3 linked regions of the Rattus norvegicus genome follow. The protein of the gene in region 1 interacts with the protein of each later gene in a pairwise test. Links are inferred from orthologs where the notes say so. Each region holds a gene or a part of one and is shown in the gene's direction. Other genes may lie near its edges. The genes, in order: Sh2b1, Insr and Ntrk1.

The links.
Region 2: the proteins of Sh2b1 (region 1) and Insr interact in binary tests that used the Homo sapiens proteins (3 or more experiments, as listed by UniProt). The link is inferred for Rattus norvegicus from reciprocal best matches to the Homo sapiens genes SH2B1 and INSR.
Region 3: the proteins of Sh2b1 (region 1) and Ntrk1 interact in a two-hybrid assay, tested with the Homo sapiens proteins (2 studies listed by BioGRID). The link is inferred for Rattus norvegicus from reciprocal best matches to the Homo sapiens genes SH2B1 and NTRK1.

What each region holds. Positions count from the first base shown.
Region 1 is NC_086019.1:190,484,328-190,488,649, reverse strand, and holds the start of Sh2b1 (SH2B adapter protein 1), read left to right. Parts: upstream 1-1,518; 5' UTR 1,519-1,735; intron 1,736-3,243; 5' UTR 3,244-3,326; coding exon 3,327-4,265; intron 4,266-4,322. UniProt on the Homo sapiens protein: Adapter protein for several members of the tyrosine kinase receptor family.
Region 2 is NC_086030.1:5,999,796-6,003,317, reverse strand, and holds part of Insr (insulin receptor preproprotein), read left to right. Parts: intron 1-960; coding exon 961-1,071; intron 1,072-1,245; coding exon 1,246-1,405; intron 1,406-3,342; coding exon 3,343-3,472; intron 3,473-3,522. UniProt on the Homo sapiens protein: Receptor tyrosine kinase which mediates the pleiotropic actions of insulin.
Region 3 is NC_086020.1:175,548,840-175,552,991, reverse strand, and holds the start of Ntrk1 (high affinity nerve growth factor receptor precursor), read left to right. Parts: upstream 1-1,342; 5' UTR 1,343-1,403; coding exon 1,404-1,615; intron 1,616-1,696; exon of another isoform or gene 1,697-4,152. UniProt on the Homo sapiens protein: Receptor tyrosine kinase involved in the development and the maturation of the central and peripheral nervous systems through regulation of proliferation, differentiation and survival of sympathetic and nervous neurons.

The sequences.
Region 1 (4,322 bases):
GGGAGTTGAACCTGGTCCTCTGCAAGAGCTGCCAGGGCTCTTAATCACTTAGTTTTCTTTCCAGATGTGTAACTTATTTAAATTTTATTACCATTTTGTATACATGTGAGCGGTGTGTGTGTCACAAGTGTGTGTGCCATGTTGGAAGTAAGAAGACAACTTTCCAACATCCTTCTCTTTCCACAGTGGGTTCCGGGGAGTGATGTCTGGTGATCAGGCTTGCACAGCAAACACATGCACTTTTACTCAAGAGGCATCTCACTAGGCTAGTTCTGGGAATTCTGTTGAAGCTCTCAGAAAAAGGGATACTCCTTAAACTGATTTTCTAAACCATTAGGCCTTAAATTTGAATCTATGGGAAACCTTCTTGCCGCACCAAGAGACTAGAGCCCCTCTGTGGGTGAAGGCAACCGCAGAGCAGAGTACAATCACAGATGACGAAGTGCAGACAGGTGGTATCTTTTGGCTCCTGCCAACGATACCAATCTACTCTGGCCTTTTCAATTATTTAAGTTGTAGTGAAGCTGGATCGATGCGAGCCTGGATTGCTAGAGGATATTTGTGTGCAAGGTCTCAGCAGCACTTTTTGTACATTCAGTTCTTCATCCCTCTAACTTGCCCTGAAGCCTCTCTTGAATTCCAAGCTCTATGTCCACGTACCTTCTGATGCCCCTTAAACATGCTCAAAACTAACCTTACTATTGCTGCCCCAACATTAGTTTCCGTCTAAGGTGGAGCCCTCCAGGACCACCTTGGCCCTTTCCTCTGAAAAACCCAAGGTCGTAAGTTCAGGCTCCGCCCGCTCACTCGGCCTCCCAAGGTCACCGCTACATCACTCGCCAGCTCCCTGGGGGCGGTGTCCGTGTACCCCTCGATGCAGGGCCAGGCGCTCTAGGCTGCAGCCAGCTCTTCAAAGAGCTTTATCATCTCGCTGATTTCTCTTAGTGGGCGGCTACTCTCTCCGCTCATGTGGCTTCTCTATGGTTAACTTCTCGCCTTTGTCTCGAATTTGCTTCGGATGACGCTCGGCTGGGACCCAACGCCTTCCCTTAGCTGCCTCAGTGGTTCCTTTTAGGTACAACTGCAGAAGCCACAGGAAGCTCAGTGAGATCTTCGTTGGCCTAGGTCCTGAAAGCTCGGCGCTGAGAACGATGGCGGAAGTGAGTACGAAGGTGCCCTCCCTACTGCTCTTCTCTATGGTCGTTTCCTTCCGCGTCGGGGAACCCGTCCTAGCGCCTGCGCAGAAGCGCGTGCTGGGAGCTCGTCGCGGAGGCGGGGGGCACAGGGAGCGGGAGCTGCGGCCGTCGCCGCCGCCGCCGCTGCCACCGCCGGAGCTAAGCGCGGGGACCGAGATGCAGGTGGGACCGGAACCGGAATCCCCCTCTTCAAGTGCCTCTTTCCTCTCCGGACTCGACCCTGTCGTCTGAGAAGCTTGGGCGGGGGTGGGCGTGGGGGATCGGGGTTGGAGGGGTGCTTGGCTCCCGAGAGGGTAGCAGATAGTTAGTCCCTCGGAGGCTCCGGCCCAGGGGCATGTGGAGGGTGTCCAACGATTAGGATCGGGTCCGAGTGATTGACCACGGGGCCCGGAGGGTCCGAACCTGGAGCGCAGCCTGCACCCTCCACCACCCGCCCTTCTGGAATGTCAGAACTAAGCCAAGAGGCAGGTGCACCGGAAAATTGTGACTGAGCCTTCTTGGCAGAAGAGAAACTGAGTCACCAGTCCAGGAACCGCAGGGTCAGCGGGCTTGAAGGGGGCTGGGTCGGCCAGTAGTGCTGAGGGCTGGGTGGGCCTGTGTGAGCCGAGGTTGCCTCTAGCTGGGAACTGTCTCTGCTGTGCCTGCACCTCTTGGCCCTGTTCCCCTGTGCTCTGTGACTCCCGCATCTCCTGGCTGCTTCTCCATGGTTTGGAGTTGTCCCTGTGGTTGGAGCCATCCGAGTATGTAGGACTGAGGCCAAGGAGGAAGGGGAGGGGTCTCTGACTTTCAATCTGGTTGTAGATTTGGTGAAGAGGCAGACATCACTAATAGTTTGGGTAGACTTTCCTGAACTGTCCAGAGGTGTCTTCTTTCAATATATCATAGGGCAGGACCACTCCTCAAAGAGCCACTGGTTGTAAATTACACACCGAGCTCTGTCCTTTTGTTGTGACTTAAGAGTTGGGACACCCTCAGAAGCTCTTCCTTTCTTGAGTTTCTCTTAGAGTAAATGGGACCCATAAAAATAGTGAGGGTGGCAGTGATGTCTTGTGTGCTTATTTTGTGTCAAGCACAGACATGTTCATTGCCATTTAATTTCTCCTGACAAGTGTAACAGGTAGACGTTATGAGCTGTGCTCCACAGATACAAAAGCTGGGTTCACATAGCTAACAGGTGGGCTGAGCTGGGGCTTTAGTCCCGGTCTCACAGGCACACCCCCCAGGGAGAGAAAAATCTTGAGTCCCGGCTCCTTGTGATGTCTTACTTACGTGGCTAGTAGAGACTTGTCCTGGCCCAACATACCGTCTCCTTTTCTCTAGCGCTGCTTTCAGTCAGCCCTAGACTACAGGGGGCAACCCAGAGAGATTGGCCATCAGCCAATCAGAGTCTCCACACGGGGCTTAAGTGCTGGGTTGTCAGATCAGCTTCGCAGACAGCTGATCCTTCGATCCATCTTCCACTTATTGGACCTATGATGCCAGGTCTCTAAACTTTGTAATCCCTGCACCCTTTGGCCCCCTGAGAACAGAGCAGTAGGAGCTGTGGTTGAGGCTGGTCTAGCATGTCTCTAGAGACTAGAACTATGCAGTGGGAAATGCAGTAGACTCTGAGTTCTGGAACTTGTTTGAATCTCTGTTTCCTCATCTGTAAGAGGTTATTAAGCTTTCTAAGGAAAGGTAAAATGACCTTGTGGAACCCTCTGGAATGTCCTATTTAAAGTGTGATGGTTAGGGAAGACTTTGTCTTAGAGAAGGGACGCTGCAGATCTGTAAGAGTCCTCTGTGGTGTTAGATGCTTCAAGACCCTTTCCTGGATCCCACAGCAGGGGGAGTGGTGGCAAAGGATGCAGGATGGACGTTGGGCTTAGTTAGCATCCCTCGTCCCTGGGGTATATGTGGGCTGTTGATCTTGAAGAGGGCAAAACAGTTTAATTCTCTTCCCCCATTGCCCTCTGAGGAGTCTGGAGGGGAGTCCCTGGTTTGGGCCAGGACATAACTCAATCTCACTTCTGCCGTAACTCAGTGTCTATGCCTCTTCTTTCTACAGCTGTTGGCGCTCACCTCGAGTCTTCTGGCTGCTTTCCTATTTGCTCCCTGCAGGCTCCCCCTGTCCTCCTCCTGGGGCACATCATGAATGGTGCCCCTTCCCCAGAGGATGGGGTTTTCCCTTCTCCACCAGCGCTGCCACCACCCCCTCCCCCAAGTTGGCAAGAGTTCTGTGAGTCCCATGCGAGGGCTGCTGCCCTGGATCTTGCTCGCCGTTTTCGCCTCTATCTGGCCTCCCACCCACAATATGCAGAGCCGGGAGCAGAGGCTGCCTTTTCTGGCCGTTTTGCTGAGCTCTTCCTGCAGCACTTCGAAGCTGAGGTGGCTCGGGCCTCGGGCTCACTCTCCCCACCTGTCTTGGCTCCATTGAGCCCTGGTGTGGAAATCCCACCATCACATGACCTGTCCCTTGAGAGCTGCAGGGTGGGTGGGCCCCTGGCAGTGTTGGGCCCTTCTCGATCTTCTGAGGACCTGGCTGGCCCCCTTCCTTCCTCAGTCTCTTCCTCTACAACGTCCTCAAAGCCGAAGCTCAAGAAACGCTTCTCCCTCCGCTCGGTGGGTCGTTCAGTCAGAGGTTCTGTCCGAGGCATCCTGCAGTGGCGGGGGGCTGTTGAATCTCCCTCCCAAGCTGGGCCTCTGGAGACCACATCAGGTCCTCCAGTTCTAGGTGGAAACAGCAACTCCAACTCCTCTGGTGGTGCTGGGACAGTTGGTAGGGCATTGGCCAACGATGGCACATCCCCTGGGGAGAGATGGACTCATCGCTTTGAGAGGCTAAGGCTAAGTCGTGGAGGGGGAACCTTGAGAGACGGAGCAGGAGTGATACAGAGAGAAGAGCTGCTGAGTTTCATGGGGGCTGAAGAGGCTGCCCCTGACCCAGCAGGAGTAGGTCGTGGAGGAGGGGCAGCTGGGCTGACCTCGGGAGGAGGAGGGCAGCCTCAGTGGCAGAAATGTCGATTACTGCTCCGGAGTGAAGGAGAAGGAGGAGGAGGAAGTCGCTTGGAGTTCTTTGTACCACCCAAGGTGAGCCCACAGGAAGGTGGGTAGGTGGGTAGCTGGAAGTGACAGTGGCTAGAGAGG
Region 2 (3,522 bases), on another chromosome or scaffold:
ACTACATTAAAACTCTGTTGGTGAGCCAGTGAGGTTATTTCAATTCCTTGTAAGAGTATGGGTTCACCTACACGAGTGTGGATGGTGTGCATAGGTACCTAATCACCAAAAACCCCATCCTCGTCCGAGTGTTGGCTCATGAAATCTGGAATATCCGTGCTCTCTGCACAACTTAAAGGCAGCTTGCGAGATGGTAGAATCTATTCTATCTAAAGCTTTTACTACTAATTTAATCCTAGAAAGGTTGTTGTTGGTGGTCTTGTGAATCTTATTAATTTTAAGAACTTTCTTAGATGTATGAATTATTTACTTCCTGGACAGTGTAAGCCTCTTTACTTTCTCAGTCTTAAGAAGCTTCCCTCAATTCCTTCAATTCATTAGAATTTGCTAGCTATCAGCACCTAAATGCCTTGCTCTTGCTGACATTGAAGCAGATTCTTGACCTCCCTCTCAGACATTCTATTTCAGGGAAGACAGTTCCCAAACGGTACGGCATGCTGGGAGAAATTAAAGTGAGGGGAAGAGGATTGTAGTATATTTGAGCAAAGCCTTTTTTTTTTTCTTTTTCTTTTTTTCGGAGCTGGAGACCGAACCCAGGGCCTTGCACTTGCTAGGCAAGCGCTCTGCCACTGAGCTAAATCCCCACCCCATTGAGCAAAGTCTTAAAGGGTGTGAGACGGAAGCACATGTGCGTGGGAGGGAGGGAACAGGCTACGGAGAGCGGGAACTGTAAAGGTCTGGAGGTAGGAACATGGTTTATATACTGAGGCACACTAGGCCAGTGAGCTTTGCTTGGAATGTTCTCTATACGAGTGGGTCTGTTTGTTCCCTTAGACTAGGGCTGGCCATGCTTCATCCAAACAGGGTGGCCTGTGTGCTATAGGCATCAGACAGAGAGTTCATTGTCACTTACTATAAAACCTGGACCCTTGTCAAGTCACCTCCATGCTTGTTCTGTAGGTCCGCCTTCTTGGGGTGGTGTCCAAAGGCCAGCCCACATTGGTAGTGATGGAACTGATGGCTCATGGAGACCTGAAAAGTCACCTCCGTTCTCTGCGGCCCGATGCTGAGGTAAGCTGCCTCCAGGCCCCTTAGCAGGCCCCCGATCTAAGTATACGATAAACGCTAACCCATGTTTGACTTTAGAATGACCCTGGCTACACCCCCAAGCCCCCGACACACACCCTGTAAGAGATGATTTAGTTGGAATCAGAGTGCTAACTGCAACCCATGTTTTGACTTTAGAACAACCCAGGCCGTCCTCCCCCTACCTTGCAAGAAATGATTCAGATGACAGCAGAAATTGCCGATGGCATGGCATACTTGAACGCCAAGAAGTTTGTGCACCGGGACCTGGCAGCTCGGAACTGCATGGTTGCCCATGATTTTACTGTCAAAATCGGAGGTGTGTCTTCAAATCTGTGTGTGTGTGTGTGTGTGTGTGTGTGTGTGAAAGAGAGAGAGAGAGACTGAGAGACTGTGTGTCTGTGTATGTGTGTATGTGTGTGTGTGAGAGAGAGACTGAGAGACTGTGTGTGTGTATGTGTGTATGTGTGTGTGTGAGTGAGACTGTGTGTGTGTGTGAGAGAGAGAGAGAGACTGAGAGACTGTGTGTGTGAGAGAGACTGAGAGACTGTGTGTGTGAGTGTGTGTGTGTGAGAGAAAGAGAGAGAGACTGAAAGACTGTGTGTATGTGTGTGTGTGTGTGAGAGAGAGAGAGAGAGAGAGACTGAGAGACTGAGAGACTGAGAGACTGAGAGACTGTGTGTGTATTATGTATTATAGGGTATAGGTCACATGGTAGATTCTGGGGTCCTAAATTCAGGTCCTTTTGCTGCCTGAAAAATACTTTTACCCACTCTGGGTGTTTTCCCAGCCCAGAAAGCTAAGATTTCTATTCTAGTTTCCTTTTTGTTTCTATCAAAAATAAGTGAGTAAATAAATAAATAAATAAATAAATAAATAAATAAAACCACTCGGGGAGGAAGGGATTTATTTCACCTTGTAGTCTATTACTGAGAGAAGCCAGGGAAAGAACTTAAAGTAGAAACCATGGAAGAATGCTGCCTCCTGATTTGCTCTGGTTCATATTTTGCTAGCTTTTCATGTATAGCCCAGCAGTCTCTTCCAAGGGAATGGTGATGCCCACAGTGAGCCTAGCCCTCCTATATCAATTAGCAATCAAGACATTCCCCATCAACATGCCCAAAGGTCAGTCCAACATAGGTAATTCTTTAGTGGAGGCTTTTCTGTCTGATGCTAGCCTGTGCTCAGATGACAGTTCAAATTTACTATGAAATTTAGTAGAGGTTCTGGCAAGACCAAAGGTTGAGTCAGAGAATGCAGAAGAAAGAGGCAACAAACAGAAGCAGAGGCTAAGTGTCTAGAATGCTGGTTGGAATGTGTGGGTAAGACAGGTATAGAGGGACCCAAGGACAGTGAGCCGTGCGGTTAAGCTGAAGGCCAAGAAGCAGGCATGTACGAGTTTTGTAAGCCTGCCTCTCAGTGAGAATTGCAACCAGGCAAGGTCCCATAAAGATCCCAACCCCCCCCACACACACACATTAGAGAGAAGAACCTATATATGATTCCAGGAAATATTTTTCTACATAACAATGGGAGTCATACAGGAATACACCCAAAGACATCAACCTATATGCAGGAAGATGGGACATCATTCTATATTTATGATCCTAAAGACCTTCTACATTAACAACGACCACCCCCCCTTCTAAACCCAAGGGTGGTGGTGCGTGTATCTGGACACTTGGGGAGGTAGAGGCAGGAAGATAAAAAACTCAACGTCATCCTCAGCTATGTAGCAAGTCCAAAGTTACCCTGGCAAATGTGAGAGCTCGTCTCAAGAAAGAAAGAAGCAAAACCAATGAGAACTGGAAGGAGTGTGATTCTGTTCACATAGCTGCCCTTGTGTAGGAGGATGACCCAGGTCGGAGGATGTACAGGGAAGGCATGGAGGTGAGCCAAGACTTTGCAAAGGGAAATGAGAAATGAGATGGGTTAGAGAGAGACGCAGAGGCAGAGAGGCTGGCTTGCCCACTGGGAGTGTCAGCAAGAGACAAGGTCAAAAGGAGACCCCAAGTGTAGTCGAGGGAGCAGCAGATTGTCTGGGAAAGGAAAAAGGTCTATTTGGGACACTGGGAAAGGAGTAGGTGGGAAGGATGACAGCCCCTGTTCTCCGTCCACACCCTCCCACACACCTCAAGAATCCCCTCTTGGCGAATTCGCCTGCCACCTACAGGACCTCTAGTGGTGCTTGGAGGGGTGGAGCACTCAAGATGCTAGGAGGATGACCTGAAAAGCCTGTGAACTGTTTGTTGTCAGACTTTGGAATGACGAGAGACATCTACGAGACAGATTACTATCGGAAAGGGGGCAAGGGGTTGCTGCCCGTGAGGTGGATGTCACCCGAGTCCCTGAAGGACGGAGTCTTCACTGCTTCTTCCGACATGTGGTGAGTCATGCCTACGTGGGTGGGCGTGGGTGCCAGGCTTCAATGTGGGT
Region 3 (4,152 bases), on another chromosome or scaffold:
GGAGGAAGCAGCTGGGCTCCCTGGCTTGATATGTGTGTGTGTGTGTGTGTGTGTGTGTGTGTGTGTGTGTGTGTGTGTGTGTGTGGTTCTGGGGTCCAACAGGTGCTTTGACATCTGCAGGGTAACTTCCTGCAGCCTGGACAGGTCAGACTCCGCTGGTGAAACCTGAAAATCTCAGTGCTTCACCTCTCACAGCCCTTCCCAGCCTCCTGAGGCTACTTTGGACATAATTTCTTGGGCCGGGGGTATGTCTCCGTCAAGTCTCTTGGTTTTGGCTCAAATCTCTAGGAGGCGAGTCGTCTCTGTGAGATTCCTCCTTCGTTTGGTTATTTTTAAGAACTCAGGATGCTTGGTGGGTCTCTGTATGTGTATTTGTTCAGAGGCACTTGGGGGACAGTTCATGCTGGGATGGTATCTCTTAAACGTGACACGTATGCTTGCAGTCAAGAAGGCCATTGCGCAAGACTCGCCTTTTGGTGGCCTGGATGCTGGGTCTGAGACTTCTCAGGTTCACAAATACCAAGAACGGTTCCCAGCTCACACGTCCGAAGAACTAAGAGATCTATTAATTTCTCCGCACAGAAATCGATGCTCTTGTCAGGACGGCGATCGATGCCAGGCTTGGTCTGCCTGGCCAAACCCCGGCTCTGGGGCCGCAGCTGGCTGGCTAGGATTGGGAACTGACCCCAAGACCAGAGAGGCACAGTCAAGCAAGGCTCCGAACAGCTTTCCCCGGCCCTCGCCCTCGGAGCCCCAGGCCAATCGCAACGCCCCGGCGCGAGGGCTTCTAGCGCCACCCTGTGGGCTCTTGAGGACCGAGAGGTCTCCACTTTCCAATCTCCCTCCAGCTGTGTTCAAAGGACTCTTCTTTACCCCTGTTTTCCTCCCCAGATTCTGCGTCCAGCCTCAGCGAGGCCTCTCCCTTTCCTTACTAGGGTCTGGAGAGCGTACATCTAACTTATTCCAAGTGACGTGAACACTCTCTTAGGTAAAGTGCACGGTGAGGCTGGCTGGGCTGACCCGGACTTCAACCTTTTTCTTGCTCAATCTCTCCTGGTCCCCGCAAATCTGAAAATGCAGCTGTTTTACTGTGAGAAATAGGGTATCGGCTTCCTAGCTCCCCCAGCCTCAGAAGACACATGTGAAGCAATCTGTGGCAGTCCCCCGCCCCAGGTCTCCTGCAGCCGTGAGGGACATGAGGAAGGCGAGCTGGCAATAGGGCCCCGAAAGGGGAGGGGGCACTGGGGGCATCGGCAGGCGGGGCGGGGCGGGGCCGTGGGTGCCGCCCTCTCCTGGTGGCTAGTCTTTAACACCGCCCCGCGCACGTGTCGCGCGAGGCCGGGCGGCGGCAGCCAGGAGCGCACGGACGGCCGCGCGGCCCGAGCTAGGCGGGCGCCGCCGCGATGCTGCGAGGCCAGCGGCACGGGCAGCTGGGTTGGCATCGCCCGGCCGCGGGGCTAGGCGGTCTGGTGACTTCGTTGATGCTGGCTTGTGCTTGCGCCGCATCCTGTCGTGAGACCTGCTGTCCCGTGGGCCCCTCGGGGTTGCGCTGCACCAGGGCAGGGACCCTGAATACCCTCCGCGGCCTGCGGGGCGCCGGGAACCTGACGGAGCTGTGAGTGTGTGTGTCGGGGGGGAGGGGCGCGGGGTCAGGAGAGCAGAGCCCTTCCCCGAGGGCGCGCACTCACCTCTGGCTTGAGGGGCCAGGCTTGGCTGCTGTAGGAGACGGGCACGTGTAGCCTTTGGCTGTGCTGGGGCGGCTTCTGCCGCTGCCACCACCCTGGCAAAGCCGCGCAGTCACTGTCTGGATGTCGCCCAGGATTAAGGGTAGCTAACTGTGGTGCTGGTTTGGGGCAGAGCAAGACTGAAACTCGGTGGATCAGGTTTTGGTCTAGCGATCTAGGATAAGAACCTTTTTGTGGGGTTCAATCAAGAGCCCAAGTCCCTAAGTCCATGAAGGAGTGGTCAGCTGTGCAGAATTTGGCAGTGTGGCGGCACCTTTGCTATCTACTCTTTCTTAGGGGGGAACCAGCCCCCAACCTCTTCCTTGCCATGCGGGGGCGGGGGAGGGGGATCCAGCTCTTCTCTGGATTTGCGATTGAGCTGGAGTTGGTGGGAGATGGTGAGGAACCAGCTTGGTGTCTGAACTCCTTTCCTCTCCACTGACCACAAGACTTCTTGATTTGGATGCGAGGAAAAGAAACCCCTTTGCCTCTCTCTCTGCTCGCCCATCTCTCCTTTCACCTTGTCTCCCTACTTGCGTCAGGCAGGCCGTTGCATAGAGATTCTCCTTTTTTCCAGGTCCAGAGCTGGGAGGAGGAACCTTCAGCTCTGCAGTACTTTGACAATGTGCAATAATCGGTTACAACATACTCAAGTATTTTGTAGCAGCTAGTGAAACCTTTGAGAGTATAATTGACCTGAAGGGACCCCCACATCACACAGTGATGGCTGGAAAATACTTGAGTATTCTGCTTGCTGGGCAGCTAGCAGCCTGCAGCTGATTGGCACCGAGTTACTCCGGCATCTTGTGGTAATTAACGGAGGTACTCAATCTCTCTCTAATGGCCCTAGGGAGACCAAGAACAGAGGAGATGGCCTTGTCTTGGCCTGGGTCTAGGCTCCTGCAGGTTGGGATGGGGCATGAAGTCTAGATGGTTGCTCCCAGGCCTGTCCATTCAAACCAGCGTCCAGCCTCCTGACTGTTTCCATCAAGGCTCTCATTCCCCCAGAGCCTTTCAAGACTCCAAGGGAGTCCAGCCCAGGGACAGGAGTAGTGGGCAAGCCTGGGCTATAGAGGAAGAGGTTGGCAGAGTGGTGAATTGAGTTGTCCCCCCTGGGTGGGGCCTGATGCTCCCAACTCCTCCTGCACAGACTTCTCCCCCCTCCCTCACCCGCATAGCTAACAAGGAGCTAATGGACTCGAATAGACAGACAGATTATGAATCTGAACAAATGAGGCGGCATGAAGCACACTGCCTGACAGCTCGCACATACCCAGCTCTACAGATCCTCTCAGCAACTCCCTGGGTCTCTGTAGCTCGAAACCCTTGGGGGCAGAACAGGGATCTGGACTCCCTCAGTAGTGGGCTAGCAACAACTCCTTAGGCCTCCAGGGGGAGGGCAGACACAGACCCATCCTATGGGGGACAAGGCTGGGATGGGAGAAGGACAGGGTCCCTTGGCCTGACCTGCTCCTTGCTGCTCTTTTTAACTAAGGGGAAGCTCCTAAACAAGGGGAAGAGTTCTGAGAACGGTTAGTGAGTCGGGGGGCCCCTAGCACACATGGGGATGGAGAGGAGAGAGGAGGACATATCATTACAGGGCGTGAGTTCACAGGAACTCTTAGATGCCAGATCTACAAGATGGGACTGCGCCCACAGCACCCCGCCCCCGAGTGCCGCTTGCTCTCGCTCCGTCTCTCCGTCTGTTTTGCTTTCTTGCCTCCCTGGTTCTCATTCTCCCTACTCCTAAGTCCTTATCTCTGTCTTGGGGTCTCCCTCTCCTTATCTGTCTCTTTCCTGCCCGCCCCAGCCCACTGTCTTCTTGCTGTCAATCTCTTCTGAGTTTTTCCACTCTTTGTTTATCTGCCCTCCCTCTGCCACCCACCTCCTCCAGCCTTCCGTGTCTCGCACTGTGAGATCTCCATCTCTCTTCACCCACTCACTCAGACTCCATCCCCTTCCCAATCCTCTCTCCCTTCCTGGGTCCCTCACAATTAAGGAGGGGCTGGGGTGGGGGGCAACAGCTCTATGCTCCTTGCTTGCTTTGGGAAAGTGCTGGAGAGGAGAGAGTAGGGGTTGCTGTGGGGAAGAACCAAAGGTATAAGGGGACCATGAGTGTGTGTGTGTGTGTGTGTGTGTGTGTGTGTGTGTGTGTGTGATTGGTGTCAATGAACCCAGATGGTGTCCACAGGGCACGTATGTTTGGGAGCACACAGTAGTATGACAATTGGGGCATCCTTAGCACTGGGTGGAGCAAGCGCCTCCGAGAGCCTTGTCTCTTGTGGAAGTGAGTCTTAGCACAGTCCCCTGTCATTGAGCATATATATGCTGGAGAAGTCTGCTAGAAAAATGGAGCCCAAGCTGAGAATGGCAGTGGGCACTGGCTAACATGTCTTCACACCTTATCTGTGTATGCACGGGAGACTCT